Sus scrofa: one gene and its partners. The protein of the gene in region 5 interacts with the protein of the main gene of each other region in a pairwise test. Links are inferred from orthologs where the notes say so. Each region holds a gene or a part of one and is shown on either strand. Other genes may lie near its edges. The genes, in order: CDK18, CTSZ, TXN2, RGS2, MTUS2, DDX6 and FCHSD2.

The links.
Region 1: the proteins of MTUS2 (region 5) and CDK18 interact in binary tests that used the Homo sapiens proteins (3 or more experiments, as listed by UniProt). The two-hybrid records come from large-scale screens. The link is inferred for Sus scrofa from reciprocal best matches to the Homo sapiens genes MTUS2 and CDK18.
Region 2: the proteins of MTUS2 (region 5) and CTSZ interact in binary tests that used the Homo sapiens proteins (3 or more experiments, as listed by UniProt). The two-hybrid records come from large-scale screens. The link is inferred for Sus scrofa from reciprocal best matches to the Homo sapiens genes MTUS2 and CTSZ.
Region 3: the proteins of MTUS2 (region 5) and TXN2 interact in binary tests that used the Homo sapiens proteins (3 or more experiments, as listed by UniProt). The two-hybrid records come from large-scale screens. The link is inferred for Sus scrofa from reciprocal best matches to the Homo sapiens genes MTUS2 and TXN2.
Region 4: the proteins of MTUS2 (region 5) and RGS2 interact in binary tests that used the Homo sapiens proteins (3 or more experiments, as listed by UniProt). The two-hybrid records come from large-scale screens. The link is inferred for Sus scrofa from reciprocal best matches to the Homo sapiens genes MTUS2 and RGS2.
Region 6: the proteins of MTUS2 (region 5) and DDX6 interact in binary tests that used the Homo sapiens proteins (3 or more experiments, as listed by UniProt). The link is inferred for Sus scrofa from reciprocal best matches to the Homo sapiens genes MTUS2 and DDX6.
Region 7: the proteins of MTUS2 (region 5) and FCHSD2 interact in binary tests that used the Homo sapiens proteins (3 or more experiments, as listed by UniProt). The two-hybrid records come from large-scale screens. The link is inferred for Sus scrofa from reciprocal best matches to the Homo sapiens genes MTUS2 and FCHSD2.

What each region holds. Positions count from the first base shown.
Region 1 is NC_010451.4:66,174,209-66,178,338, forward strand, and holds the start of CDK18 (cyclin-dependent kinase 18), read left to right. Parts: upstream 1-1,330; 5' UTR 1,331-1,630; intron 1,631-4,130. UniProt on the Homo sapiens protein: May play a role in signal transduction cascades in terminally differentiated cells.
Region 2 is NC_010459.5:59,143,688-59,146,377, forward strand, and holds part of CTSZ (cathepsin Z precursor), read right to left. Parts: intron 1,793-2,690; coding exon 1,613-1,792; intron 168-1,612; coding exon 17-167; intron 1-16. UniProt on the Homo sapiens protein: Exhibits carboxy-monopeptidase as well as carboxy-dipeptidase activity. Capable of producing kinin potentiating peptides.
Region 3 is NC_010447.5:11,263,320-11,267,438, reverse strand, and holds the start of TXN2 (thioredoxin, mitochondrial), read right to left. Parts: upstream 2,801-4,119; 5' UTR 2,764-2,800; coding exon 2,725-2,763; intron 1,997-2,724; coding exon 1,734-1,996; intron 1-1,733.
Region 4 is NC_010452.4:937,284-941,509, forward strand, and holds the start of RGS2 (regulator of G-protein signaling 2), read right to left. Parts: upstream 2,801-4,226; 5' UTR 2,785-2,800; coding exon 2,675-2,784; intron 1,608-2,674; coding exon 1,506-1,607; intron 1,406-1,505; coding exon 1,344-1,405; intron 814-1,343; coding exon 647-813; intron 362-646; coding exon 164-361; 3' UTR 1-163. UniProt on the Homo sapiens protein: Regulates G protein-coupled receptor signaling cascades. Inhibits signal transduction by increasing the GTPase activity of G protein alpha subunits, thereby driving them into their inactive GDP-bound form.
Region 5 is NC_010453.5:6,531,815-6,535,533, reverse strand, and holds the end of MTUS2 (microtubule-associated tumor suppressor candidate 2), read right to left. Parts: intron 3,380-3,719; coding exon 3,166-3,379; 3' UTR 501-3,165; downstream 1-500. UniProt on the Homo sapiens protein: Binds microtubules. Together with MAPRE1 may target the microtubule depolymerase KIF2C to the plus-end of microtubules. May regulate the dynamics of microtubules at their growing distal tip.
Region 6 is NC_010451.4:46,029,337-46,032,836, forward strand, and holds part of DDX6 (probable ATP-dependent RNA helicase DDX6), read right to left. Parts: intron 3,313-3,500; coding exon 3,211-3,312; intron 2,164-3,210; coding exon 1,988-2,163; 3' UTR 1,985-1,987; exon of another isoform or gene 1,957-1,984; intron 634-1,956; 3' UTR 1-633.
Region 7 is NC_010451.4:7,606,027-7,610,195, forward strand, and holds the start of FCHSD2 (F-BAR and double SH3 domains protein 2), read right to left. Parts: upstream 2,801-4,169; 5' UTR 1,928-2,800; coding exon 1,907-1,927; intron 1,492-1,906; exon of another isoform or gene 639-1,491; intron 295-638; coding exon 197-294; intron 1-196. UniProt on the Homo sapiens protein: Adapter protein that plays a role in endocytosis via clathrin-coated pits. Contributes to the internalization of cell surface receptors, such as integrin ITGB1 and transferrin receptor.

The DNA of each region.
Region 1 (4,130 bases), on a different chromosome or scaffold from region 5:
TCGGCAGTTTTATTAGCATCCCTGGGAAATCTGTATGACCTGGCAGAGAAAAGAGATAAAGAGTTGGGAGCCCTTTGTGAGGTACCCCTGCCGACTACCAAGTCACTCTCCTAACAGGCTCAGTGTCTTCCTTCCTGCTCCCGAGTCCAAGCCCCGTGGAGTTGCGAGAGCTTGTGGATACAGGCTGATGTTGGAGGGCAAACCTCAGGCCCATGTCTTCCAGAAAGGAATTTTTCCTACTCTCAACAACTTGTTCTCCCTAGGGAAAGATGCCAGGCTCAAAGCCTATGACTTGAAGAAAGGCAGTCACTTCCGAGCAATCGTCAGAAAGGGTTCAGCAGAAACCCATCCACACAGCGGACCACGCCTCCTCAAGAGATCCCTGCCAGGGCCCCCAGTCTGCAGAGGCCACACTCATTGGCGACCAGCGACCATGGAGCTCCCCGATTTGATGCCCATCAGATCCATGGCACCATCTCCTCTCCTCACAGCCTTCAGGAGGAAGCAGGGCTGGGAGGGGCTTGGATGGGCTATTTCATCCCATCTCAGTTTTCCTTTGATCCCTGAAGTCCGATGACGGGGGTGGCGTGGCCATTGGCCTCGGTCCTAATCATGGCTTGCCACTAACTCCTCATGGGGCTTTGGGCCAGTCCAATACCCTTTCTGGGCCTCAGTTTCCCCTTCTCTAAAATGAAAGCTGGGCTGGCAGTAGCTAGTCGGTAAGGCTTCTTGGATGATTAGCACTTGGTCTGTGGGGCTTATTTTGCAAAAGGACAAACTGAATTACTTGTCGAGGTAGGAAGTGGGAGTGATGGCTAGAAGTGAAGCTTCCTCCAGGCCCTGGAAAGGTGGGGTCAACTAGGTGGGAGCTTCCTCCCTAAAGGTAGGTGACAAATCCCACTGGACAGGGGGAAGGGAGAGCCCTGCCAGGACTACTGTTGTCAAGAGCTCTAAAGGCAAAAATGACCAACAGGACCTGTCTGTGCACATTAGCTCCTGGGGTGCCAGTCGCTGGGATCCAGGATCAGACTCAGAAGGGAGGTGAGCTACACGTAGAGACGGACACAGCAGACCAGCCCCTGCCCTGGCCCGGGTCCTGGGTGCCCCAGTCGGGAGGGCTTCATCCCTAGTCACGGCTCTCAGGGCCAGTCCCGCAGGCCAGGCCTAGGAACGAAACCGGAAGAGGCACTTGGACCCTGGTTCCCAGAGTGGGAGAAAGGGTGGGCACCCGGGCAGAGGGAGCCCCAGGGATTGGCAGCGGCTGTGGGCAGGGCGGGAGGGACGGGGAGGAGTCAACTTGTACGTGTGAAAAACTCTGGCGGGGGCCGGGCTCTTCCCTTCCTCCTCCTCCTCCTCCTCCTCCTCCCCCCTCCCTCCTCTTCCCCACCTTCCTCCACCCTCTCCCTTCCCCTCCCCTTCTCCCTCCTCCTCCTCCTCCTCCTCCTCCTCCTCCTCCTCTTCCAGCTCAGGTTGCAGCTTCTCTGGGGAGCCGCTCACCTTTCCGGAGCAGGGGAAGCCGCCCCGAGCCCGGGCAGGGACCCCAGCAGGGCGCAGGGCACAGAGCCCAGCCCCGCGGCAGCCCGGCCGTCGCGGGCGGGAGCCGGCGCGCCGCGGCCCCAGGACACGCGCGGTGAGTCCCGCGGGCGAAGCGCAGTGTGGGTCCGGCAGGGCGGGCGGTGCGCCGGGGGAGGAAGGGGAGGTCGGAGGAGGGGGCACTGTGGCGCCGGGGAAACGGAGCAAAGGTAAGCGGAGCGGCTCTTAAAGGCGCAGTTCTGCTTTTGCCCTGGGGCGGGAGGTTGGAGGGAAATACCAGGGCGCCGGGGGAAGGTCGGAGATCACGAGGCGTGAGGACAAGTGTGTTGGAGGGTGGCGATGCCTTGGCAAGGCCAGTCCCGGGTTCCAGGTGTTTAGGAGGGAAGGACTGTTTTGCATTCTCAGACCTCCCCCACCTCCTCCGCCGGGAGTCTCCACCGGGACTCGCTTTGGCCCCCCGGGCTCCTAGGAAGCAAAGTTTTTCCACCCCGCAGGGAAGCAAGAGCTTTCTAAGCGTCCTTCCGTCTGGGAAGGGCAAGGGTCAGGAGTCTCCGGTAATGAGAGAACCTGAGAAGGTGGAGCCAGATCGCCGCCTCGAGGGGCTTTCTGGGCTCTGGTGAACTTTCCAGAGCGCCAAGTTGAGGGCGGGGGGGGGGGGGGGGGAAGGCCAGGGTCCTGGAGGGTGAAGGTGGAAAGACAGGTGAAGCCCTGCAGGTTCCAGCGCTGGGGGCTGGCTGTGTGTGTGTGTGTTAGGGGTGGGGGTGCCGAGTGGGGGCCTCTGAGGGTTCCTGTGCCTCTTCTCTCCCTGCCTACCTGGGAGCCCAAAGGGGCAGTGCCATCCCCCAGCAGCCAGGAAAGGGTTAATGCAGCAGTGGGAAAGAGTGAGTGGCCTGTTTGGAGATGTGGCTTGAGAATTCTGCTCTCTGGGGGCCGGGTGGGGGGAGTTGGTGATGATCAGGAATCAGAAATCTGAAGTCGGCTGTGGGCTGGAGGCCTCGGTTCTCTCCCTGTTGTGCACACAGGGGTTTCTGGCGCTGTCTGCAGGCCTTGTGGTGGGGATCTGGCCCTTCAGACAGTGACCGATTTTCCATTGCTGCGGGTCGACACCCTGCTAGGCACCGGTGGCTTTGTTCCTCTTCTCTCTGATCCCATCCCGACAGCAAGGGTGGGAGAGTTGGGGCTGTGAGGAGGGAGGGTCTGCTCCCCAGAACCCCCACCCTCCACCCCCCAGCCCAGCCTTCAGCAGTTCCCCAGCTGTGGCCTGGGCCCTGTGACTCACTGACACCACGGCCTGCCCCTCCTGTGTCAGCACCCTGTGAGATTCGGCATGTTCCTTTGGCGTTTTCCACTGGGCACACAGCACATTCCTGGACGCTGGCCTGAGGGAGCAGAATCCTCGAGGACAAGGACGAAGCGCCTGGAATGTCTGGCTGACAGACTTGTCCTCAGAAACCCCCTACCTTTTGTCTGGCCTCCACAGAAGGCTGGGACACCCACCTTGCTTAAAGTTGCGGGGGAGGCGAGGAGGGCCCCAGGCAACCCCGGCTCCTGGGTTTGGGTCAGCATCCTGAAGGTGTTCTGGAGAGAGGGTCACCTTGCCACAGCAGAGCTACTGTCTTGGGTTACCCTGCCCCAGTCACCTCCTGAGCAGCTGGTGAGCCTGTGAGGCTGACCTCCCCCCCCCAGGCCTGCAACTTCGCAGCCCGCTAGGTGCCTTGCCAGGAGCCCTTATTCTTCCCAAACCTCTTGGGGTTTCCAAAGCCAGAGTAGACGTCAGTAAATTACATCTGACTTCTGAATGCCTTGGTGGCTACTGTTTATTGAATATCCACTGGGTGCCAAGCTGTGTGTTACACAGCTTTACAAAGTAGGTATTATCCCCATTTTATGATGTGGAAACAGAGACTCGGAGACGCCAACTTTCCCCAGATCCACATAGGTGGGATCCAGCCCACTTCCTCTAACCTCAGGCCCCCTGGCTCTCAGTCTCTCCCCGCTTAAGGGAGATCCCAGCCCACTCTGAAGTTGTCGAGTTCTATGTGGATCCTAGGAGAAGGAGGGAGGAGGGCTGGCTGAGTAAGGAGGCTTGCACTTGTCCTGTGCCAGGCAGAGCCAGGCTTGGGTCACAGGAGAGAGGGCACCGGATCTGAGGAACAAGTAGGTTCTTGGTCTGAGACCTTATAGGATGGGGCTGCCTGCCTGGGAAGCCTCCCCCTTGGGCCTTGAGATGGAGCTGCCTTTACAGCTGCATTTGTTTTCTCTGCAGACCCAGACTGTCCTCTGCCGACTGGGCCTTCCTGCGCCCAGGCAGACAGCTCCATGCTGTAGGGCAGAGCCTGGCCTGGCTCCTCCCGGCCCCTGTCCCAACCATGCCTGTACTTGCTGGGGTCACCTTGTTTTGTCTGAGTTTAGGAACTAAAGGAGAGGGCCAATCGAGGCCCCTGGTGGAATCCAGCTCCAGCAAGTACTCCAGCAAATTCCTGAGCTTCTTCCAGCCTCAGTTTCCTCATCTGTGAAATGGAGATCATCATATGATTGGTTGTTATATGAGTTCAACGAAGTAACACACAGTGCCTGGCACACAGTAGATGCTAAAT
Region 2 (2,690 bases), on a different chromosome or scaffold from region 5:
TGTGCCAGCGCCTCACCTGATGGGCCCGTTGGCGTAGATTTCAGCCATCATCTTCTCCCGCCCGGAGACGGAGCCGTAGTCGCCAACCTTCCAGAGGGTGTAGTTCTGGATGACGTGGCATTCTTTGAACTCAGTGCACGTTCCACACTGGTTAAACTTGTCACACACTGGGGGACAGGGCGGAACGTCAGCGTGAGGCTGGTCCCTCATTCACCTGCCGGCAGGCCCACACTGCACCCAGACCAGCTTGAACCCAGACCAGCTTGCTCGACTCTCAGCTGCAGGGGCGAGAGGCGAGCCCTTCCCCAGCCGCCTCCGAAAGACCCACGTTAACTAGCCCGTAGCCGCCGCCACTCAGGAGCTTGGCTTTTCCTTTCCAGCCCAGGGCAAAGCCCTTCCACAATGCTCTACAGCTGAAAATAGCGTCATTAAATTAGCTTTTCATGAGATTATATGCTTGGCTGGTGAATAGGTCGCACGAAACATTTGGGGGGAGAAAACAAGCATTTTCTTACTTGGGGTTGAGGAGGTATCAAGATTTAGGCTTCAAAACAAACAGAAAAAGCATCTGGAAGACTCCAAACCATCACCTGTGTCCTTCCTGGACCCCGGACAGTGTCACTTCTTTCTGGGTCGATCCGGCCTCGGACCTGTGGCCCCAGTTTTTACTTTGTCCCTGTGACCGATTTCTGTCCGTTTCCTGTCAGTCCACACCCTCCCTGGGGACATTAAACTCGAGGATGAAACTGTTGCTTTAACTCATCCCTGGGCACATCAAATGCCCAGTGCAGCCTGAAGACAGGTGGATCTGTGGCCGCCTTTGCTCCTACAGAGGCTCCGCAGGGCAAACAAGCAGGTGCCAATGTGTTCCACCCGGCCTGGGTGCTCGGCGGGCTGGAGGGGCCTGGCCGGGGCCCCCAGGACAGGCTCTGGGCAGAGCGGCCTCAAGGACTTCTGACCTTGGGCCCTGGGCGGGGGCAGGGATGCCTCGCCGCTCCTTTCATCATGGGCGCCTCCCGTGGGTTCTCTACCACTCAACCAGTCTGGGGGGGGGTTCCTGCCAGCAGAAAAGCCCCCAGGGCCTCCCCACTCCCGTCTCAGATAGCTGACAGGGACAGGCCACTCAAACTGCCCATTGAGGGTTTGGGGTTTGAGCCTTTTCTTGCCTTTGATTTCCAAGGGGAGCGGCCTGAAAGGAGTGTGCCAACCCCAGTGATCCCTGGCCAGCTTGAATCCGCTATCCACGCAGCGCCGTCTGCCCCAAACCCGCCTGGATGCTGCGGCCCAGCCACGCCCAAGAAGCAGGCCGAGGCCATGTTCCCGCCCAGCCTGCCCGTTTCCCGCCTGCACCCCCCGCCCGCCTGCTCCTGGAAAACTCACCCTGGACAAGCATTCGCCTTACAAAGGCCCGTGAAGCCACCCAAACATCAGCACCTCAGATCCCAAAAAGCAGGTGTGGGCCTGGCCACGGAGCACACAGGCCAGACCCCCTCCCCAACAGGACCCAGCCCCCAGGTTTAAGGGGCAGGGGGCTCCGGCCTCTGTCCCGCTCCCCCCCCCACCCCCCGCCCTGGCCACAGGCCCTGAGAAGGCGGGGAGGGCCGGGGCCTACCTTGGTCCTTGGCCTGGTAGTTGTTGCAGGTCTCATCCGGGATGCCGTGCCGGTGGGCGTAGGCCCACACGGGCAGGTCGTCGCCCCCCTCGCAGGAGCCGGCGTTGCCGCAGTCGATGACATGCTGCACAGACAGCAGCGTGGAGGGCCAGGCCCCCTTCCTCTTGATGTTGATTCTGTCTGCAAGGGCAGCACCCAAGCCTGTTGGCACTGCCCGCCCAGCCACCCCAGGTGCCACGCGTCCCCTGGGGGCTCTGCTCTCCAGAGAGGCCTCCTGGGCCTTCCCAGCACTGATGCCCGTGTCACCTGCTCCAAGTGCCCCCCGGGCAGGGCGAGGTGGGTACTGTGCCCACTGTGGTGGAGCCAGGACACGGGCACCGCGGACCACAGACCAGGGCCAGACGCGTCCCACTCTCACTCCCCCGGTGCCTGGGCCACAGCCCCCGCGGGGCGGCCAGGGGCACCCAGCCTGTCTCCCTGTCACGCGCGAGAATCCTACCGGCCCTCAGCCCCTCCTCCCCGGGCCGCTCACGTCACCTTCCAGTCCCCCAGGGCCACCAAGGCCATTTCACAGCCACGCTGCTCCCACCTCCAAGTCGGAACTCACTGGATCTTCCCCTGACGACAGCCCGTGGCCACACCACAGGGCCCCTCCCACCCCTGAGGCCACCTGCCCCTGCCTGCTGGAACCCGCAGCAGGTCATCAGCCCTCCCTCCGGCGGCCTCCCCTCCACGGCATCCCCCTGCGGCCGCCCCTTGCCCAGCCCTGTCCTCAGGCCTCCCCAGGGCCCTTCCCAGAAGCCCCCGCTGGCCGCCTCCCCCCCCGCCCCTCAGCCCCTCCCCAGCCCGCTGCCCCTCCAGCTGCCACTACTTGACACACGAACTCTGGCCCTCAGCTTCTCATCAGCGCTCCACCTGCCAGGGTGTTGCGCCCTCCGCTCTCGGCCGTAGACCGAGTGCCTGAACGAATGGCCTGGCGCGGAGTAGGCGCAGGAAATAACAGCTGCCTCAGGGAACTCCCTGAAGTTTACCCATCTGAAGCCTCACCCTGGCTGCCAACCCCCGGGCAGTGCCCCTG
Region 3 (4,119 bases), on a different chromosome or scaffold from region 5:
CCAAATCATTCATTTGGGAAGCTCTCTCCAATGTGCTCAGCAGACCAGGAGGGCAGGACAGCTCTGCCTTCCACCAACCCCTGCCTGATGACTCCTAATTTTTTTTTTTTTTTTTGCTTTTTAGGGCTGCACCTGCAGCATATGGAGGTTCCCAGGCTAGGGGTAAAATCAGAGCTGTAGCTGCCAGCCTACACCACAGCCACAGCAACTCAGGATCTGAGCTGCATCTCTGACCTACACCACAGCTCACAGCAATGGCAGATCCCCAACCCACTGGCAAGGCCATGGATCCAACTCATGGATACTAGTCGGATTCATTTCCAATGCACCACAACGGGAACTCCCTGTGACTCCTAATTTATTCTCAGCTTTGAAGACCCTCTGCATTCAGAGATTTCAATTAATGAACTCACAACACCTAAAAGCCCCGTCTGCAAGACCTTAGCTCCTACCACACGTGAAGAAAGGGAGGCATAAGGTCATCACATGGCCTGCCCAAGGCAGCATGGTGAGTCAGAGAAAGAAGGCGAAGGAAAGCAAAAGAATCTGTCAGTGGTTTGCCCACAAGGTCTCCCAACTTCTAACTCAGGCTCCCATTTCAGGATGCCCCATTCTGTCGTAAGCCACACGGGAAATCCAAGGATGCCCTATTCTGAAAGGTTTGTCCAGTAGTTTTAGAACCAGGCATCCAGCCAGGCTCCAAAGGTCTGGAAAGGAAGAAGGCCAACAACAACAATAACAACCGAAAAAAAAAAAAAAAAGGCCAGACCGACAACCAGAATGCCATAGGCATTTAAATATCCTTTAAACAAACTCACAGGGCACCAGAAAGAAACTCCTGTCCATCCAGTGCACGCTTGGGCACCCAACTGTTAACTTTTATCAGTGGAACTGACAACTTTTTGCTAGCCCTTCTCCGCTTGGGTGGCAAGATGTTAAACACAATTATCTGCAGAGTCAGGAACTGGTAATATACCAAAAGCCAGATGATACTACAGCCTTATTTTTCCTGCTTTGGTCCAAGCTAAAGATGACCTGAGCCACTTGGGCAGTGAGATACAGAACATAACTGTTTCACAGCACTATTTGGAGTTTTTCTTTCTTTTTTTTTCTTCCTTTTTTTTCTTTTTTCTTTTACAGCCACCCCAAGGCATATGGAGTTCCCAGGAGGGATCAGATCCAGATCTGAGCTGCAATTGGGACCTACATCGCAACTGTGGCAACGATGGATCCTTGAACCCAATGCGCTGGGCTAGGGATCAAATCTGTGGCCTGGAGCTGCAGAGACAACTGCTGCCAATGCCGTTGTACCACCATGGGAATACCCACGGAGTGTTCTGAAGACTGAAGATTGTTTACTAGTCTGCCTCTTCCTTTCTCTTTTGGGCCTCACCTGCAGCATATGGACGTTCCCAGGCTAGGGGTCAAATAGGAGCTACAGCTGCCGGCCTACACCACAGCCACATCAACACCAGACCATTAACCCATTGAGCGAGGCCAGGGATCGAACCCACATCCTCACGAATACTAGTTGGGTTCTCAGCCTGCTGAGCCACAACGGGAACTCCTACTAGTCGGTTTCCTACCAAACTACACTAATCTTTGAGATAAGGGATTCGGTCTCACCGATCTCTATGTGAGAAGCATCAAACATAGTACTGAGACATAGCAGGTGCTCAATAAATACCAGAACAAGTGACACCCAGTCTTCTACTGACCCCCCCAGGACTCACTGTGCATGGAAATCCACAACCACTGGCGTCTCACTGTTGACAACTCGGTCTTGAAAGTCAGGTCCATCCTGGATGTTAAAGGTTGTTGTACAGACCTGGGTAGTGTATAATGACCGGGCTTGGCTGGGTGTTCCTGTCAGGTTACTAAGGCTGAGCTGTGGGGTCTGCAGGGCTCTGGAAGCGAGGGGTGCCCACCGACTATGAGAGGGCTTCCTGGAGACTACAGAGGCCAGGAACCTCCTCAGGAGAAGACGCTGAGCCATCTGTGAAGGGAAGAGGTAGGAAGAGTAGGGGCAAAGAACAGGAAGTCAACACACCAGAAATCAGAAAGGTATGTGGGAGTACCAGGGGGCTCAAGATGCAGGGCCAGAAACAAAATGTTGGGAAATAATACATAAGACTTCTGGAGGAAAAGTGAGTAAAGAATGAGAATCAAGGGGAAAAAGGAATCGAAAACCAGGATGGGAAAACTAGGTCGACAACCCAAAAAGCAGGATATTGGTGAAATTACAACAGACGGAAGGGGGGAAGGAATCAATATTTATGGAGCACCTGCTAAGAGATAGGTATCTTACAGGCATTAGAGTCCTCCCAGATCAACGATGAAGAAGTTTCTACTGTACTACTGCTCATATTATAGATAAGGACTTAGAAGCTCAAGCAAATTGTGACATATCCAAAGCAACCCAATTATTAAAGGAGAGTCGACACTAGAGCCCACGACAGTCTGAAAAGTCCTTACTCTATCGATTACTCTTTTAAAAGGAGTTTTAATGGGAAATTAAAGACAAAGGAGAGTTGTCAAAGGTTCAGGAAAGAAGACAAGCAACAATTCAAATAGGAACGAAGTGACACGGGAGCAGGTGGGGGGGGAATTAATAAAGAAGGGACGTGTGTGTGGAAGGAACTGGGAACCCCGGCTCCCCGAATGGCAAGTTCCTCCCACCCAGGGTTTCTGCCCGCTCGGCCATCGGCCTGCATGGGAACGCGCCTGCAGAGGCGCCTCAGCCGCGATACCACTTCGAACCATCCCCACAGGGCCCCTACCTCCCAGCAACGAGAGCGAAGCGACGCACAGCACGGCCCGCCCCACCGGTCAAGGGCACTTCTGTCGTCACTTCCTGAGGGGCGGGCCTTAGCGTCACTTCCGGGAAAGGCAACCTGAGCAAGTCCTCAACTAGAGGGCAGGCACGGGCGGAGCCTCCGTTAGGGACCGGAAGAGAAGCGTTCTTGAAAAGAGACACCGGAAGATGGGCGGGCTCTTAGGGGAGGAACCGGAAGAGGGGCGGATCATTGGGGAGGGACAGGAAGAGGCCGGAGGGCTCCGGAGGAGGGTCCGGAAGAGGAGGGGAAGGAGGCGGGAGTGCCAGGGAGGGGGGGGGGCGGAGAGAAGGGCGGTGGGGAGGCGTGGTCCTCGAGTTTGCAAACACTTGCTGACCAGCATGTCCACCCTTTTGTCTCATTGTCCTAATGTCGCTTCGAAGCAAAAGACTTCAGTTGGGAGTCCAGAGAACGCTGACTCGTATTTGTCATATGTGACTGTATAACTTCGTGGTTTCGAGCAAGTCTTCCTGCCCTTGGGGACTTCAGTTTCCCAAAATGTGACATGAAAAGCTCAGCTTGTCTTCCACCCTTGTCTCTTTGGGATTGCTGAGAAACTGGGCCCAGACAAGATGCCAACTGGTAGTGATACTTGGAGGGCCTGCCTCTGAGGCCCCAGGCAAAGTGTGATGATCCCTGAATCTACCTGGGCCTGGGCCTTCCTTTCTCACCCATTGTCGCTGTCATGGACAACAGGAGTCTAGGCATTTGTGTGTCTCAGGCTGGTCTCACAGCCACCCCTTGTCTCCCTTGCACCCTTTACCTATGTTAGAGCAGGAAAGGGCTGTGGGGTTTCAGAGCAGAAATAGAGGCAGAGAGTCCAGAGCGTTGAGGCTTCAAGTAGGTTTACTGAACAGAAGATGGCCAGAAGCACTGAGAGAAAGCACAGGCTCCCTGGTATTAGCGGGGGAATAGGTTTTATAGAGGCTTGTGGCTAAAGTAACCAGTGTCAGGGCTGGCATCAGGCTACATGGGAGGGGTAGGAGGAGAGGTGAGGGGTTGTAACAATGTTCCATGATATGGTGGGAACTGAAGATTAGCAAAGACAAAATGCAGTTAGGGCAGTCATCATTCCAGAACAGGCTGCTCTTGGTTGAACAAGATAAGGGAGTCGGCAGTTTGAGGGATTAAATCTGGCTCTAAGACCTTACAACCACTCATAACTTCTTATGGTTCTATGAATAAATCAATGCTTCTCCCTCCTCCCTGCCTTTGCTTAACTTGAAAGCCTTTTTTCTATGTCCACTCGGTAGAACACCTACTCATACTTCTTGAGCAGCATTAA
Region 4 (4,226 bases), on a different chromosome or scaffold from region 5:
CTGGCTTCCTGACTCACTAACTCCGAATCAATAGTTCTGAGTGATGTTTCCTCAACACCCAGGCTGAATTCAAGGTCAGTCTTTTCGGCAGGTGACAGCCTTTCCCCTTAGGAAACAAAAAGAAAAAAAGCAATGTCCTCGTTGCGGGGCTCCCGTTTCCATCTCATGTGGCATGGGGCTCTGTGGTGATCTGCGGCGGCTTCCTACACAAGTCTTGGTAGAATTCAGACTCCAAGAAACGGGGATAAGAGTTGTTCTCCATCAAGCTGTACACCCTTTTCTGGGCAGTTGTAAAGCAGCCACTTGTAGCCTCTTGTATGTTTTGGGCAATGAGAGTTTTGGTTTGAAAGTCTATGTTTATCTGAAATGAAACAAAAATAGCGGTTTACTGCATATTCAGAGGTGGAGACTGACGTCTATGCGATACATGAAAGCAAATGAACAAGCAAAAGACCTCCAAAACCATGAGGGGCGGAAGAGGTGCCCCAGCCGCCCCCGTAGAAAGGTCATTCATCTCGCTGAAAGCCAGAGGGGAAAATATTTACCCCTCCTTTTAGCTTGAGGACTCTTCTATTCTTTCGTTTCACTCTGGTGCTAAGAATGTTCAACAGATACGGAAACAAGGACATTTTTTTTTCCTCCTTACCTCTTTTGGAGCTTCTTTTTCTATGAAGTCAGTGTATATTTTCCTGGCTTTGGAGGACAGCTTTTGGGGTGACTTTGTTTTTTTGAAGTCTTCACAGGCCAGCCAGAATTCAATATTTTCTTCACAGAATTCAGATTTCAAAAAAGCTCTGAATGCAGCAAGACCATCTGGGGGGCAGAGGAGAGGAAGCATGAAGAACGTGAACTGAGGGACCTCATAATCCCTTCACTTTTCTCCTAGGCCTCCCTGGCCCTGGCCCCCTAATTTTCTTATCTCTAGATGAAAGCAAGATTTCTAGATTTCACTCCCGCTTTAGAACTGAGCTCTTCAGAGACGAAGATGCCAGTCTGCAAAATGCTTAAGGTGGCGCCCTGCTGTGCTCAGCTTTGCTGTTGACCCAGCCGTTTACGGGGGAGCTTTGGTTCTCTGTGTGAACTAAGCCTCTTGAGAACACTGTATGCAATGGAAAAGCTGGCTCAAGCTTACACCAAGGGCCATTCCAGTTTGGCGCTGATTTTGCGTCCCACCTGGAGTGAATAAGCCCTGCGTTTCCAGGGATAATCCCCGGGAAACGGCGGGGGAAGAAACAGGCCTCAGATGCTGGAGACAGTAAAGTCAAACTCCCTGGGGCCGGATGCTCCTCCTTTCTAGACGCTTGGGCTCCTTGAAAAGGACCAAATTCAAGGGGTTAACTCACATTTGCTGGCTAGCAGCTCATCAAATGCTTCTGCCCACAGCTGTGCTTCCTCAGGAGAAGGCCTGCAAGAGACGGTCACATGTCAGCTCACACCTGTCTGTTTCCCCCTTCTGTTCAGCAGCTGGTGGCCTAGCTTTGCAAGGACTGAGATTTTCAACTTACTTGATGAAGGTTTGCGGTTTGCTTTTCTTGCCGGTTTTGGGCTTCCCAGGAGAGGAGGAGTTTTGCAAGAAGTAGCTCAAACGGGTCTTCCAATCTTTTAATCTTAAAGAAGAAAAAAAAAAAAAAAAAAAAAAAGACTTTTACTAAGTGCCAACACTTGAAATGGCCACACCACTGCAGCTAAAGGTTTTTTTTTTTTTTTTTTTTAAACCAAATAAAGTCACTCCCAGTAGCTACAGACAACGAAGTAAGACAAAACAGTCCTCCTTCAAGTCAGTCTTACCCCTTTAAAATATAAACCCAGCACCTATGCCTGGAACAGTTTCATCTACTCATCTGAACATAACTGCTAGTTTTATAACTACGCGTAGGATAACCTACAATTATAGGGTATTTAATGAATTTAGCTGGCATAGTTCAAAAGGCAGATGCTATTTCTGGCCCACAAAAGGCAGCAGCAGTTCTGCAATGTTAATTACAATTCTGAGACATTTCACACTTGATGAAACGGACAGTGGAACTGCCCGGAGCCAGCCATGGGTATTTCCCTTCCACCCTTAGAGCAGGAGGATCTGGACCACTCTAGAAGCTGTGAACAATGAGGTGAGGTGCGTGTGCGTGTGTGCGCGCGTGTGTGATCGCAACTACAACACCCATTTTAACCAGATGATGCAGAACAATTATTTGTTCCTTAGTGCTGGGTGGGTGAGATCTGTTGTTAAACTGGAAAAAAAAAAGATTTTAAAATAATATATTCAGAGCTAGCAAAAATATTTCCATCCCAGCAGCTGTGTAAGTTGATGAGAATTTACAATGCAACGTACGAATGCTGGGGACGCGCCTGGGCTGCAGGATTCTCTGGTGTCATTTTCGATGCGGGGAGATAAAAACCCAACCTGCGATTCCTCAGCTCATCTACCACCGCCTCTGCATCACGAATTTGCCGCAGTTCCTCGACTCTACCCTCGAGTCCTTCGGTTACATCACAAAGGACCCACCACATAGATTTAACCCTACCTAGCAAGTGTATCTTTTACACAATGTTTTCCCCTGCAGAGATGGAGGCACCGCTCCAGGGTGGAAGCCAAGCGCGGATGTACCGCGTTTGCAGCCGCCCGGGACAGCTAGGTCCGCGGGGCTGGCAGGGGAGAGAAGAAAGCCGTACTTACAGGGTCCGCTTCATCTTCTCCCGCTTCTCCTCGCTTTTGGGGCCGGTGCCTGCGCTCTTGTCCATGGGTCCGCAGTCGTGATGGACAGTCAGGAACATAGCACTTTGCATTATCGTCTACGCTCCCGGGTGCCCGCTCTCTGCTGCCAGGAGCGCGCCGCGGTATTTATAAGAGTCGGAGGCTCGTGGGCGGCGCCTCACGACGCTGGGCCCGCCTTCAGCGGGTGCCGATTGGCCGGCTGGCTCCGGGCCTGGGGCGGAGTCTGCGCAGTCCCGGGCACCGCCGAAGGGTCTGGAAGGGAGGGCGCCGCTGACGTTTGCGGCCGCAGCGTCGTGCGCAGGCGAGCCCCCCGCGGCGAGGCGCTGGGGCTGCTGGTGGGGGCCGAGGAGTTTCCCTTCGGGCAGCCGCCGGAGGCCTCTGCCGGCTTGGGGCGGCCGGCGGGGTGGCAGAGCTTGGGAGGCGTGGGGCGGGTTGGCTGCAGGCCCCGCGGGGCGCTCGCCCGCCCCTCCCCCTCCTCGCCTCCGTCCCCTCCCCCACGCGCACTTGCTCCGGACCCCAAAGGGAGGGGGGAGTCCCCAGCAGGTCAAGGTTACTTGCTGGGAACCTGAGTGCAGTTACTCGGTTTTGAATTCGGATGTGTTCCCTCTTTTTTTGGAGCGCACACCCTCTCCCCGCGCCTCCTTTCTTGGTCTGTAAACTGAGGCCGCGGGGAGATGCTCACCTGCTCCTCTTTTCGTCACCGATTCATTGGCGGAAGGAAAGGGAGAAGGGGGGGCGGCGCAGGGGCGGGCGGTGTGACCTGCTCTGCAGCTTCCCTGGACAACTTGGAGAACGTTTGGGAGGGACGTCGTCGGTCAGGGGAAGGAACAGGAGAAGAAGTGCTTTACCTGGGTGTGCAGTTTTAGTCACCAACACACACGAGGCTGGGTCGGTCCTTGGGGTTGCGTGCTCCTCCTCTGGAGTACTTGGCTGCTTGTCCTTAGGGAACACACGGGGAAGTCACAGATCTCCTTCTCAGGACGTAGAGGGAAACACCAGGACCTCGCAGCTGTCATTTTAGTGTAAGAATGCAAAGATGCAGGATTTCCTCATGAGTCATTCTTAGTCGGCCTAGAATTTACCAGAACATTTACTTGGCAAAAAGGAGAGGTGGGGGTGGAGGGAAGGCTAGGTTAACAGTTTGCTTGAAGGAGCTTAATTTGCTAAATTCTTCAGAAATTGTCCTGCTGTAGCACGATTTAAACGGTTTGATTGGTAAGGACGAGTAGGTGACCTCAACCCCGGTGTGATCGGATAGCGAACAATTTTATTAGATCTGTGCAGTGGAATGTTCAAGGGGTTTTCCTGCCAAGCATCGAAGTAGCAGGGAGATGAACCACAAGGTATTAGGCTGCAGAATTCTCTCTCCTTTGCATTAGAACTGTTAAAAGAAAATTGGAACTGGTTTACCATATTCTGATGAGGAGCTGCCAGTAGCTGGAGCTCCAGGATTGACTTGGAGAGCAAAACGTTTCTATTACTAAAGAGAACAGCCATGTACTCAGCTATGGAG
Region 5 (3,719 bases):
GAAGTGCTGTGGCACAGACACCTTGCCAGGAGGGCCCGCCGCGGCCACTGTCAGGGGAGAGCTCTGTGCCCAGACGCACACCGGCGCGACCGAGGACAGGCCAGGCTCGCTCGGGTAGAAACAGGTCACCGTTGGAATTTGAAATGGGTGGTTGGGGGTTGGACTCAATCTTTTGTGTCTTTTGCCCAACAAACTCCAGCCCACCCCAGCCTGCCTGGGATGGGGTGTGGGCCGGGGGCAGGGCCACTGAGCCCCCAGAATCCAAGCAGGGCTGCTGAAGGCCCCAGGCTGGGAAGACGAGGCAGCGACCTTGGTCCTGCGAAGTTGGGAGAGCGATGGGGGTCGGGGGAGGGCGAGACCCAGTGACCAGCTGACCTGGCACACACACGAGGAGCCCAGCCTGCGGAGCCCCTTCAGCCTCCCTGCTTCAGACGCATGCCCGCCTGCCCCCCTGAAGCCTGAGCGGGCCAGGCCAATGGTCACACCAAGTGCGTATCACAGAAGGTCCCTCAAGTTCATTTTAATATGCTTCGAACACAGATAGGCAACACAGAAACCGGAGGGGCCCGAAAAGGACCGAGGGACCCCGTTCACATCATCCCCAAGTGCGTGGGCCTCCAGCCTCTCCCCCGCCCCCGCAGGAACCTCCTTGGGGTGTGGGGTGGGCTGGGGGCGGCCGGGCTCCAACAGGGGCTCACACGCCAAGAAGTGGTTGGTGAGGCTTGCTGCGTGTGTCTGAGGCAGGTGGGGGAGGCTGCCGCGTCTCTGCGTGGCAGCAGCTCCAGCCCGGGAGGCAGACGCCAGGGAGATGTCCCCGTCGCCAGGGGTCCAGGTCCCAAAGGTGTGCGGGGTGAGGGGCGCCGTGGCTGCTGCCCCTCGTGTGTCCCGGGATGGGAGCCACACAAGACGGGCGTCTGTGACGAGGAGACGAAGCCAGGGCAGTGCGGGAGGGAGCTCGAGTAGCCAAGGTCAGGGCTGGCCAGAGCCAAGGTCGAGTCCACCTGGTGAGGGATTCTAACAGCACGACGACGGACTGCACGAGGCTAACACACCGGACCACGTGCTAACATCACACTGAAATCTGTATTGCTGGGTAACCGCGTTGAGCAGGTGCCGTTACGGAAGCAGTTCCTAATCCGGAGGCTGAGCTACTGCCGAACCTGTGTCTGCAGGTGGTGCCTGCAGAAAGAACTCAGTATCTGTGTATTTCGTCAGTGTGGCATGAGCTACTCTAATGGAATGCCCAGCTCAGTGTCACAGCGTCATGCAGAGCCACTAACGGGAAATGGAAATGTTTCGTCAATGGGTATCTCCTGTGTGTGTCCTCGGGGTGGGCAGAGACCTGGAGATGGGCTAGAAATGAGATGCATGTCAGGCCGGAAGCCCAACTGTGTGTCACTCGGGGAACACAGAGCAGGCCGCACATCCCCAAGCAGGCCAGGCTCTGGGCACGCGGACGCCTTCTGAGGGCCCTTTCTTCCCTGCCCCATGGCTCTGGCCCAAGCGGCATCCCTCAGTGAGTCCGCCTGCTTCGGGTGTGCCCGGAGGCAGCCCCGTGCCCAGGACCATTTCCAGGGGCCTTCGGGAGACAAGGGCAGGGGCTCTGTCACACACAGTAGACAGAGGCATCGTTATCATCAGCGTATCAACGTTGAACCTACTTCTTTCTTTCGTGGGTCATGCTGCTAATCGTCCACAGCACTACAGGAGTATCTCTCACGTTCTAATGCTACCGTTTCAGCGACAGATGCCAGTCCAGAAGCCAGCAGCGCTAGGCTGGCTGTTTCAGTCGGGGCTCTTCTGAAAGAACCTCCTGGGCCCCAAGTGGGACCACTGTCTGCTGTGGCCTTGCTTGATCGTCCAGCAGAAAACACACCTGGGTTTCTGGGAGTCACGTGATGACGTAGCATGGCTTGGAACTGAGGAGGACTGGTTTGCTGGAAGCCCCTGCTAGAGCCCCTGAGCATCTCAATGTACAGGGATGAGGTTGGGTTTCACAACCAAACGAAAGGTGTGTGTGGGGGGGACAATGACATGGAGCCGAGGGTCATGGTTGAGTGGGGTGGCCATTCTCAGCATCACATCCGAGCGAAGTGAAGAGGATGCCAGAGTATGTGCTCCTGCCCTGCTTCGTCACAATACAGACCCTGGCAGCAGCTCTCCTTGTTGAGGATGGAGCGTGCGTGGTCTGGGCCGACTCCAAGGTCATTCTCACCCTCCTTCTCTAAGATCATGGGCTTCCGTGTTTTCTCAAGGATGCAGTAGCTTAAGGATAGATTCCAAATGCCATTTAAGAAAAAAGCAAAACTTGTGTCTACAAGACCATAGATGATCCACTGTCACGAGTGCCATCTGCAAAACCGCTCACCCCTCAGGGTTTCCCACGGCTGCCCCTTATCCACTCACGACAGTGTTAATCATTAAAACTTGCAGATGGAGTGACAGTGACCTCACGTCATATTGACTAAGAAGCTGATTGTTCCAAAGGCAGTTACCGTTCACGAATGGCTGGTGTTTGTGTTAAACAGAGTACCACGTGGTGGTAGGTTGAAAGGCGCTTCTTCTCTGTGTATCTTTTTTTTTTTTTTTTTCCTTTTACTATTTTGGGTAGAAATATTCCTGGGAAGCTAGATAGAAATGCATTTTCGTTTCCCAATAATTCTTAGGCACAAGTTAGAAAACTGCTGACCTTCACCAAAATATGTCAGCACTTCATGTTATAAAAAATGCGATTCAGAACTGCTGCATGTGTATATACGTGTATCTAAATGTACACACAGATCGGTGCGGTACAGGATGATTAGTCAATGGATATTCAAAACCGAGCTCTTTGTAACTAACCTGAAATTCTGCAGTGAAAGTTCATCGCTCAAGAACAATGGGTGTTCCTTTCTTTTGGCTCTAACTACTGCCAAACATTTGCACGCCAGACGCTACCGTTTACACTTTCCTAAGTGCCAACACCAGGACAGTCTTACACGAGGGTCAGAAGAGGGCTCTGCCTAGGATGCGGCTGTGCAGCTACGGGGCATGCGCGCAGAGGATGCAGCTCTGCAGCTACTGCGCACGCGCGCGGGCCAGCCCCGCCGGCCCGTGGTCCCTGCTCCCCGCAAGTGGGAGCCCTCGTGGACCGGGTGCCGGGGCTGCGCCCGCAGCGTGGTGGCGTCATCTTGGCGTCATGCTGACTCTGGCGGGAGAGGAGGGCCCGGAGGAGGAGCCGCGGTAAATAGGGGACGTGGGGGACAGTTTAACCGGGCTGGTCGGGTCCCCGGTTTGGAGCTTCCAAAGCAGCTCTTCGTTGGTTCGGCTCAATCTCTTCTTCTCTTGCGTTTCTTTCTCCACGTATTCCTGCAGATTAGCGTTTTCCTCCGACAGCTGTCTGCACGGGGAGAGGAAGCAGCGGTCAAGTAGCAAGAACGCCGGCAGGCACTTAACCTGACCTTTGCCGGCCCAGGGGTGCGGGGCAAAGGGAGGGGACGGTGGCTGTGTGCCAGGAGAACAGGGTCCTGCTGGACCCCAGGGACCAAGAACCGGGCTTGACTCATGATTTCCACTCATCCCACTACCTCTGCCTTCCCAGAGCCTCTCGGCCAACCCCTGACCCGCTGGCAGTCCCTCGGCCCCAGTCTGGGGAGGCGCTGCTGGTCCAGGGGACAGAGACCGAACAGAGAGGGGGAGGTGGGGCCTGGTGGGGGTGTGCTGCCCAGAGGCTGGGAGAG
Region 6 (3,500 bases), on a different chromosome or scaffold from region 5:
CATTTACTAATACGTTTCATCTTCCAGCCCTGGGCTTGAGTATCAGGTAGAAAGGGAAGAGATAAGACTTCAACTTGAAACCAAAATGAAAAGACAAAAATTTTTTAAAGAAAAAAAAAATTACTATTGTTGATTCCTCGGGCTCTGTCTAAAAGATGATATTCTGAATGGTCTCATAGCATAAGGCACTTCGCACAAATAAGTAATAAGCTCTTCAGGCTTAAAAAACGGATGAGTAACCAGGGAGAAGTTGAAATGCACTCAAGAGTCAGCTGTTGAAGAATTCTGAAATCGTAGACAAGCTTGTGTTCATTAGGATTCTTCTCTTTTTAGGGTTTCTCCCCTTCTCTTCTTTCTTCTCCTTCCTTGTCCCCCTTCCCCAGAAAACATTAAAAAAACCAGCAGTTAGTGCAACTAATGTTCAGTCAGCACACAGTGCAAACAAGTGGAACAAAAAAGGTAAACTCCTTTTCAGCTTTTTTCTCTTCACCAGTTAAAAAAAAGAAAAAATGAGCTCCTTTAAGTCTTCATAGTTCCAAAATAAAAGAAGATGAAAAACCCACAAAGAGAAGAGTATCCCCCCAAAAACAATGTGTCAGAGATCCAAACGAGCCTTCTGTAGTTTGACAAAGCCTAAAGGAAAAAGGGAAGAAACCTAAAATTAATGTTGTGAAAGCAACATGAACTCAGATATGTAGATGTTCACAACCCCCATCCTAAATGCTCTCTACAACAGCTCCTATTGAGCCTTTGCCTATTACAGAATCCACTCAGGATTAAGGAATTTCTGCTAAGCATGCCAGAGACAGAATGAAAGCCTGAAAGTTCTGATAATAGGCAGTAGTCACCCACAACAAATTTAACTTTTCAAAGCCTTACATGAACTCAACTCAAACATTCATTAGCTAGTTTTATGTTCGTCTGAGACTTCTGTGTTTAACATTTAAATTAGGGGAAAAAAAGACTGGCCAACAGGGACTTGCTGTAGAGCACAGGGACCACTACCTGATATTCTGTGATCATCTATATGGGAAAAGAATTTGAAACAGAATGGATGTCTGTGTGTGTATAACTAAATCATTTTATTGTATAGTAGAAATTACTAAAACATTGTAAATCAACCAATACTTTATGAAAAAAAATTTTTTTAATTAGGAGAAAAAGGTTAAGGTGAAGAGAGTAATTTGAAATATCTAAAAATAATAGATCAAATGTTCACTGCTAACTTGTAAACTATTGTCTCTCAAATTAGATTTTCCTTAAAAACAAAAAACTTCCAAAGCAGCCCTCATTCCTCTATATTTAGTCTTGTTGTTTTAGGGGTTTTTTTGGGGGGGGGGGGGTGGCCACGGCATGCTATAATATCTGAGTCAGGGATTAAACCCAAGCCACAGCAGTGACAAATGGTTTCTTTACCTGCTGAGCCATCAGGGAGCTATGTATGACAAGCCTTGTTTTGAGCATATTTCTACCAGAATCCAAGATGAGAGGGTAGGTGCAGAAAACCAGAGTGGGTATTTAAAATAGGAGTTATCCTCACAACCTGATTACTCATTTAGCAATGAGGAATTATAGGTAATTTAACCTGATTTATTAAGGTATTCATTCAAAATTAAGAGTGAACACTAACAGAGAGGACTGAGTGACAGAGGATAACAGCAAAGATGTTTTCATACTCAAAATTGCTAAGATTCTTTTTTGCTTTCATTATTTTAGAAGTCTGAATTTGTTTCAAGTACTGCACACATACTACATTACTTAGGAAGACTGCAATTCAAAAATAGAATTTATAGATTCTCCAATAAGACCACAACTTCAACCAAGATACTTCCTGTTTACTGTCATTTATGCTGAGAGGTGTTTCAACCTTCACTGCTAATTATATACAGTACGACATCAAATTTCCCCCAGGAAAAAGGACCTTCATTTCTTTCCTTTATTAAACATTATGCTCACTTATCTCTTCTGTCAGGTATGCACATACTTGTTAAGGTTTCTCATCTTCTACAGGCTCGCTGTGGTATTCTGCCACATATAAGCTCTTGTCAATGTTGCTTGGGATAGGTTTGATTTCTGTTCCCAGCTGCTCCTCAATACTTTTCAGGTTGAAGCGATCATCATATGTGATCAAGTTGATGGCTAAGCCAAGATGACCAAAGCGACCTAACAAAAAATTTTATTTAACAAAAATTAAATGTGAGGATCAATGTGCAAGCACTAGTCTGTAAGTGGTAAAACTATGTAGGGTTAAAGTTTTGGGGGCCATTCTGAGTATATGAACCCTGATCTGATGGTCCCCTTATAACACATTATAGTAACCTCAGGTTTCACAGCCTCCAGTAGTACTTCTTTTATATATATATATATTTTTTTTGTCTTTTTAGGGCCACACCCCTGGGCACATGGAGGTTCCCAGGCTAGGGGTCCAACTGGAGCTGGACCTACACCACAGCTGCAGCAACATGGGATCTGAGCCACATCTGCCACCTATACCACAGCTCATGCCAACACTAGATCTCTTAACCCACTGAGTGAGGCCCAGGATCAAACCTGCATCCTCATGGATACTAGTCAGATTTACTTCCACTGAGCCACGACAGGAACTCCAGTACTTCTATTTTAACTTTTTCAAGTGAAAAAAGGGGTGCTCATTTGTGTTAAAAATTGCCAAAATATACATGCTCAACAGTACAATTACACAAGTGAGATTCTCATTTGAGAATTTTACCTCAAAGTAAGCATAAAGTTATTTTACCTCTAATAGATATTTTGGAAAAAATAGAAATTAGTCATATATTTATTTATTTATTTATTTTTGGTCTTTTTGCCATTTCTTGGGCCGCTCCTGCGGCATATGGGAGGTTCCCAGGCTAGGGGTCTAATCGGAGCTGTAGCCGCCAGCCTACGCCAGAGCCACAGCAACGCGGGATCCGAGCCGCGTCTGCGACCTACGCCACAGCTCACGGCAACGCCGAATCCTTAACCCACTGGGCAAGGGCAGGGATCGAACCCGCAACCTCATGGTTCCTAGTCGGATTCGTTAACCACTGCGCCACGACGGGAACTCCCTAGTCATATATTTATATACCAAACAGCTAAATTAGTTTTAATTCACTGTTCTAGTTGCTATCACACACATCTTCACAAAAGGAACAAAATTTAGTGGTTAAACTCAAAAAGTTCCACAAAGAACATCTTCCTTTTCCTCACCTGATCTTCCAATTCGATGGAGATAGGTCTCTGCCAGCTTTGGGAAGTCAAAGTTTATTACCACATTCACAGCTTGTATATCAATACCTCGGGTAAACAAATCTAAAAAACAAACAAAAAACTCCATTAGATCTTCCAATTTGGTGCCATAATACCCTTTAGCATATTTTCTAATATAACCTAATTTTATTCACTTCATTAACTTTAAAGTATTTGCAAATTATTGGCATAACTTTTCATGCACATTGCCATAAGCAGCTTTCTACTCAGAAGCTATCCTTTTCCAGTCC
Region 7 (4,169 bases), on a different chromosome or scaffold from region 5:
TGGGTTTCTCCACTAATGGAAAAAAAGTTTGTATTGTGTTAGTTCCAGTTATAATTTCTAGCTGAGTCAAAGCTCCAACGGCCTTAAAGCAGGAAATTCAAAAGGAAATTCCATCTTCAGTTCCTGGGGCTTGGGAACTCAAAGGTTCTTTTAAACAGAGATACAGAAGTTCTCAAACTATTTACTATAACCTTACCTCATATCTTCAAGCAAATCACATTCTGCTTGATGTTTGGCTTGAAGTTTTGTCATCTGCTCAACTTGAATGTTTTTCAGTTCTTGTGTAACTTTCACCTAAAACATATCATATATTTATGAGGCCTTACTGAAACTTTAACAACAACAACAAAAAATCTCTTAAGGAAAATACTTAATACTTGTCAGAATATATAACTCTTGCTTGCTTCTCCCCTGAGGACCATAAATCCATTATGAGCCATCTAATTTTGTTTATGGCAGGTACTTAATGCTCAATATACAGTTAGGTCTTAGAGTTTTAAGAGTCTGTCATCTATTTTCTCCAAAAAGGATTCAGACATTAACCAACCAGGAGAGGTGAGCAGAGTGTGGGTGGGAGAAGGGGCCATACAAATACCTCATATCTAATGATGGAAATTTTCACAATCATGAAATTATACCTTGAATCAACTATGTAAATGATTCCATAATGGCTTCAGAAAGCACACTCTCCGGATGATGCCCCGGACTCGCTGACAGCACATCAAATCGCAATCTCTTTTCTCACAAAGGAGAAAGCAAAAGTGACCTTCCAGCATATGCCGTGCTTTTCAGCCACCCCGGCAAGCCCGTCCCCATGGCGTTTTCACTTCAAACAGCTAGAACAGCACATGCAAGCCGGCCAGTGCCTCGCCAGCCAGGCCCGGATCCAGGTTGCAGGGGGCCTGGAACCCCCACCGCCAGATCGGGGCTACGGGAGGGGTGAGAGGACGTGTGTGAAAGGAACAGACTCCCTTCACTGGAAAACCCAGGTTGAGAATGAGAAAGAAGACGCAGCAGACACCAGTGAGTTCGGCATTCAGCAAATGTTTGCCCACAAGGGGAGGAGAGAACAGCCTCCTCCACCCAGAGCCCGGAGGAGACACTCAGTAACCTGCAGGATTAAAAGACAAGGACGCCGCCTCAGTCCCTGGGAAAACTGGGCAAGAGGGCAGTGAAAGAGTTCTGGAAGGGCAAAACGGAGGAGCTACTGACACCCGTCACTCCCACCCCGAGCCCAGATCGCGGTGCCCACGCCACGCTCGGCCCGGTTCTCGCTCTCCGGGGGGCAGAACCACCACCTTCCTCGCACCCGAGTCGGAGGGGCGGGGCAGGAATAGGGAAAAGAAAGGCAGGCCGGTCCATGCTTCATTGCTTGTTTCACCCTGGGGTCGGGTGACCACTGCAACTTCTTCTCGGTCGCCCCGTGGGAAAAGTGGGCCAAACCTTAAGGCTAGGCTGGAAACAAATTCCCTGTAAATCTGGAAACCGGCAAGGGTGGAGACAGGCGGGCGGAGGGCTTAAACCTGGTGCAGACTAAACAATCACACAAGCACCAGGCTCCGCAAAGCTGCAGGGGCTCCCCCACCTCCCCTCGGCGCAGCCCCGAGAAAACACTTTGCAGAGAGCAGCACTGCCATGCGCGCTCACACACACACACACCCAAATGCACAACCGAAACTCCAGGGCAATGTCGAGAAGGGGGTCTCCGGCGCGGTCGAGGGGACCAGCCCGGGTCGCCCCTCCGTCGCGCCCCCCGCCAGGAGCCGGCGGCAACTCAGTGACAAGCCCGAGACGACGGCGGTCACAGCCCCTGGCGCAAAGGGGGAGGGGGCGCGGCGGTGGCCCCAGCCGCGTTCCCTGCGCCCATCCCCTCCCAACCGTCAAAGACCCCCAGCTGCATCCTCACCTTCCTCGGCGGCGGCTGCATGATGCTGAAGGGACATCAATCCTCCTCCGGCGGCGGCGTTGGCGAGGCAGGGAGAAGGAGGGCCGAGAGGAGCGGGCGGCCCCGAGAGCCGGCGTGAGCGGTAAGCAGCGCCTGAGAACCAGCACTCGGCCCGGAGGGAGCAAGGCCGGCGGACGGCAGGAGGACCCGGGTCGCGGGCAGAGTGTAAAGAGAAAGAGGAGGAGCGCCGGCAAGGCCTGGGCTCCGGCGGCCCGGGGGTGTGTGAGGCGAGGAGGCGGGGACCGCGAGGGGGCGGGGCCCGGGAGCGGGGGCGCAGGGTCTCCCAGCTCGCGAGCAGCTCGCGACGAGCGGCCGCGTCGTCCGGTTCCCGGCCGCCGAGGCTCCCCGCCCGCCGCCCGCTCCGCGGCTCCTCGGACGCGGCCCCCCTGCCGCCACTCAGGCGGCCCGGCCCTCGCTGGGCCCAACGCCCCCGCCCGGCCGGGGGAGGTGGGAGGCGGCGCCGCGCTCTCCGCTTCGCTTCTTCCACTCAGGCCGCGGGAATTTCCGGCCCCAGCGCGCGACGCAGCGCCCCACTCCGGCGGCGGAAGGGACAGCTCAGGCCGGAGCTGGATTCTAGGGCCGGGCCAGGCTGAGAGGAGCGAGCGTGGCCGCGGCGCGGGGCTCCGGATCGCGGGCCGAGGGACGGGGGGAGCTAACGGATCGATCGGCGACTCAGAGGGGTAGAAACGCGACCGCAGCCCGAGGGCCCCCCCGTTCTCTCCGAGAATGGCACGTTCCAGACGCCTCCTGGCCCCCCTCCCCCACTCCGCGAGCCGGCCGGGGGCTTCCCGCGCGCTTTCCCGCCCGCCCGCCGCGGCGCGCCTGCGGTCGGGGGCGCGCACGTGGGCAGGCGAGGGCTCTGCGCCGACGCACGCGCGTAAGCCGCCGGTGCCTCCTGCGGGCGGCTGAGACCTGCTGAGCCCGAGACAGAGAGAAAGAGCGAGAGCGGGTGTTGCTGTGGGGAGCGGGCAGCATGTCTGTATGTCTGTAGCAGTAGGAGAGTCCCGTTCTTTGCTTCATCTCGGCGCTGCAACACCCCCCTCCCTTCCAGCGGGATAAGCCTGGCCGGCCAAGGCACCAAGGGGCGGGCGCAGACAAGTCCTTTCGCGGCTGCTGCGGGTGCCTGGTTTGGGCGGGAGCGGGGACGTCTAGTTGCCCTGCGGAGAAAAAATTGCCTCTCTGCTGCAGGGCGTCTAAGTCATGAGCACAGACTCTGCGCTAGAAGACCGCGAGGTCGTTAGAGCCAGGACCTCCATTTGAGGCCGGAGGAGTGGAGACTCTCTGAAGGTTACACAACAGGGCTAGACTGGGTGGGTAACTAAGCGTTGCATGGGTTATAAAACAGGTGCAGATGATAACCATGAGGAAGAGTAGAGGAGGTGGCAGGGTCAGTGCAGGAAGCCCTTGAATGGAAGTCAGGATGCCAGTCGATCTGCCTGCCCCTGATTGGCTGGGCGAACTCAGGCTCCCTCATCTGCCCCGTGAGGACGCTCACCAGGCAGCTCCCTCCATCCCACCTTACTCCTCCATCCAGACCATCAGAGGTTAGGACTCTCAGCCTCCCTTGATGTCCTTAGAGGAATGAAAACACCTCTTCCGGAGCCTCTAGGTCTGGGTGAAGGGCGAATCAGAGAACCCCAGTTTTATCAGAAGTTGGGGTCTCAAACACCTGTTCTCAGAAGAGTAGTCAGGCAAAAGAGGAAAGTGAATGAAGCCCTAGGAAGACCCGAGGAACTTGCCCAAAGCCACTTGGCTAGAAATTGGGAAGATGTAAACCTAGATTGTTGGCATTGTTAGCCTAGATTCTTGTACAGGAAGGTGATAGAATTAGAGATATGCTAATAACTAGAGTCAGGTTAATCTAGGGCTATGTAGGAGTTGGGAGACCAGACTTGCTGTTTCTGGTTTCCTCGAGGCCATTCAAAAGTGAGACCTTCCCCAGAGCCCTCAGTTACTATCGGGCAAGGCCTGGGGCAAGAGAACAGGTGGTGGAGGCCCAGCTCCCTGACAGCTGTGGGGCCAGCAGCTAGAGCCCAAGCTGGGCTCCAGTCTCAGCTCCACCATCAACTTAATATGAGACCTTGACCTAGTCAGTTCACCTCTTTCAGCCTTCATTTCCTCACTTGTAAAAAGGGGAAATAGTGCCAGCTTCACAGGCGTTTTGTATTAATTAGAACTTCTCCTACCGCAGGGCCTTAAATGCTCGCTGATACATCATTTATTC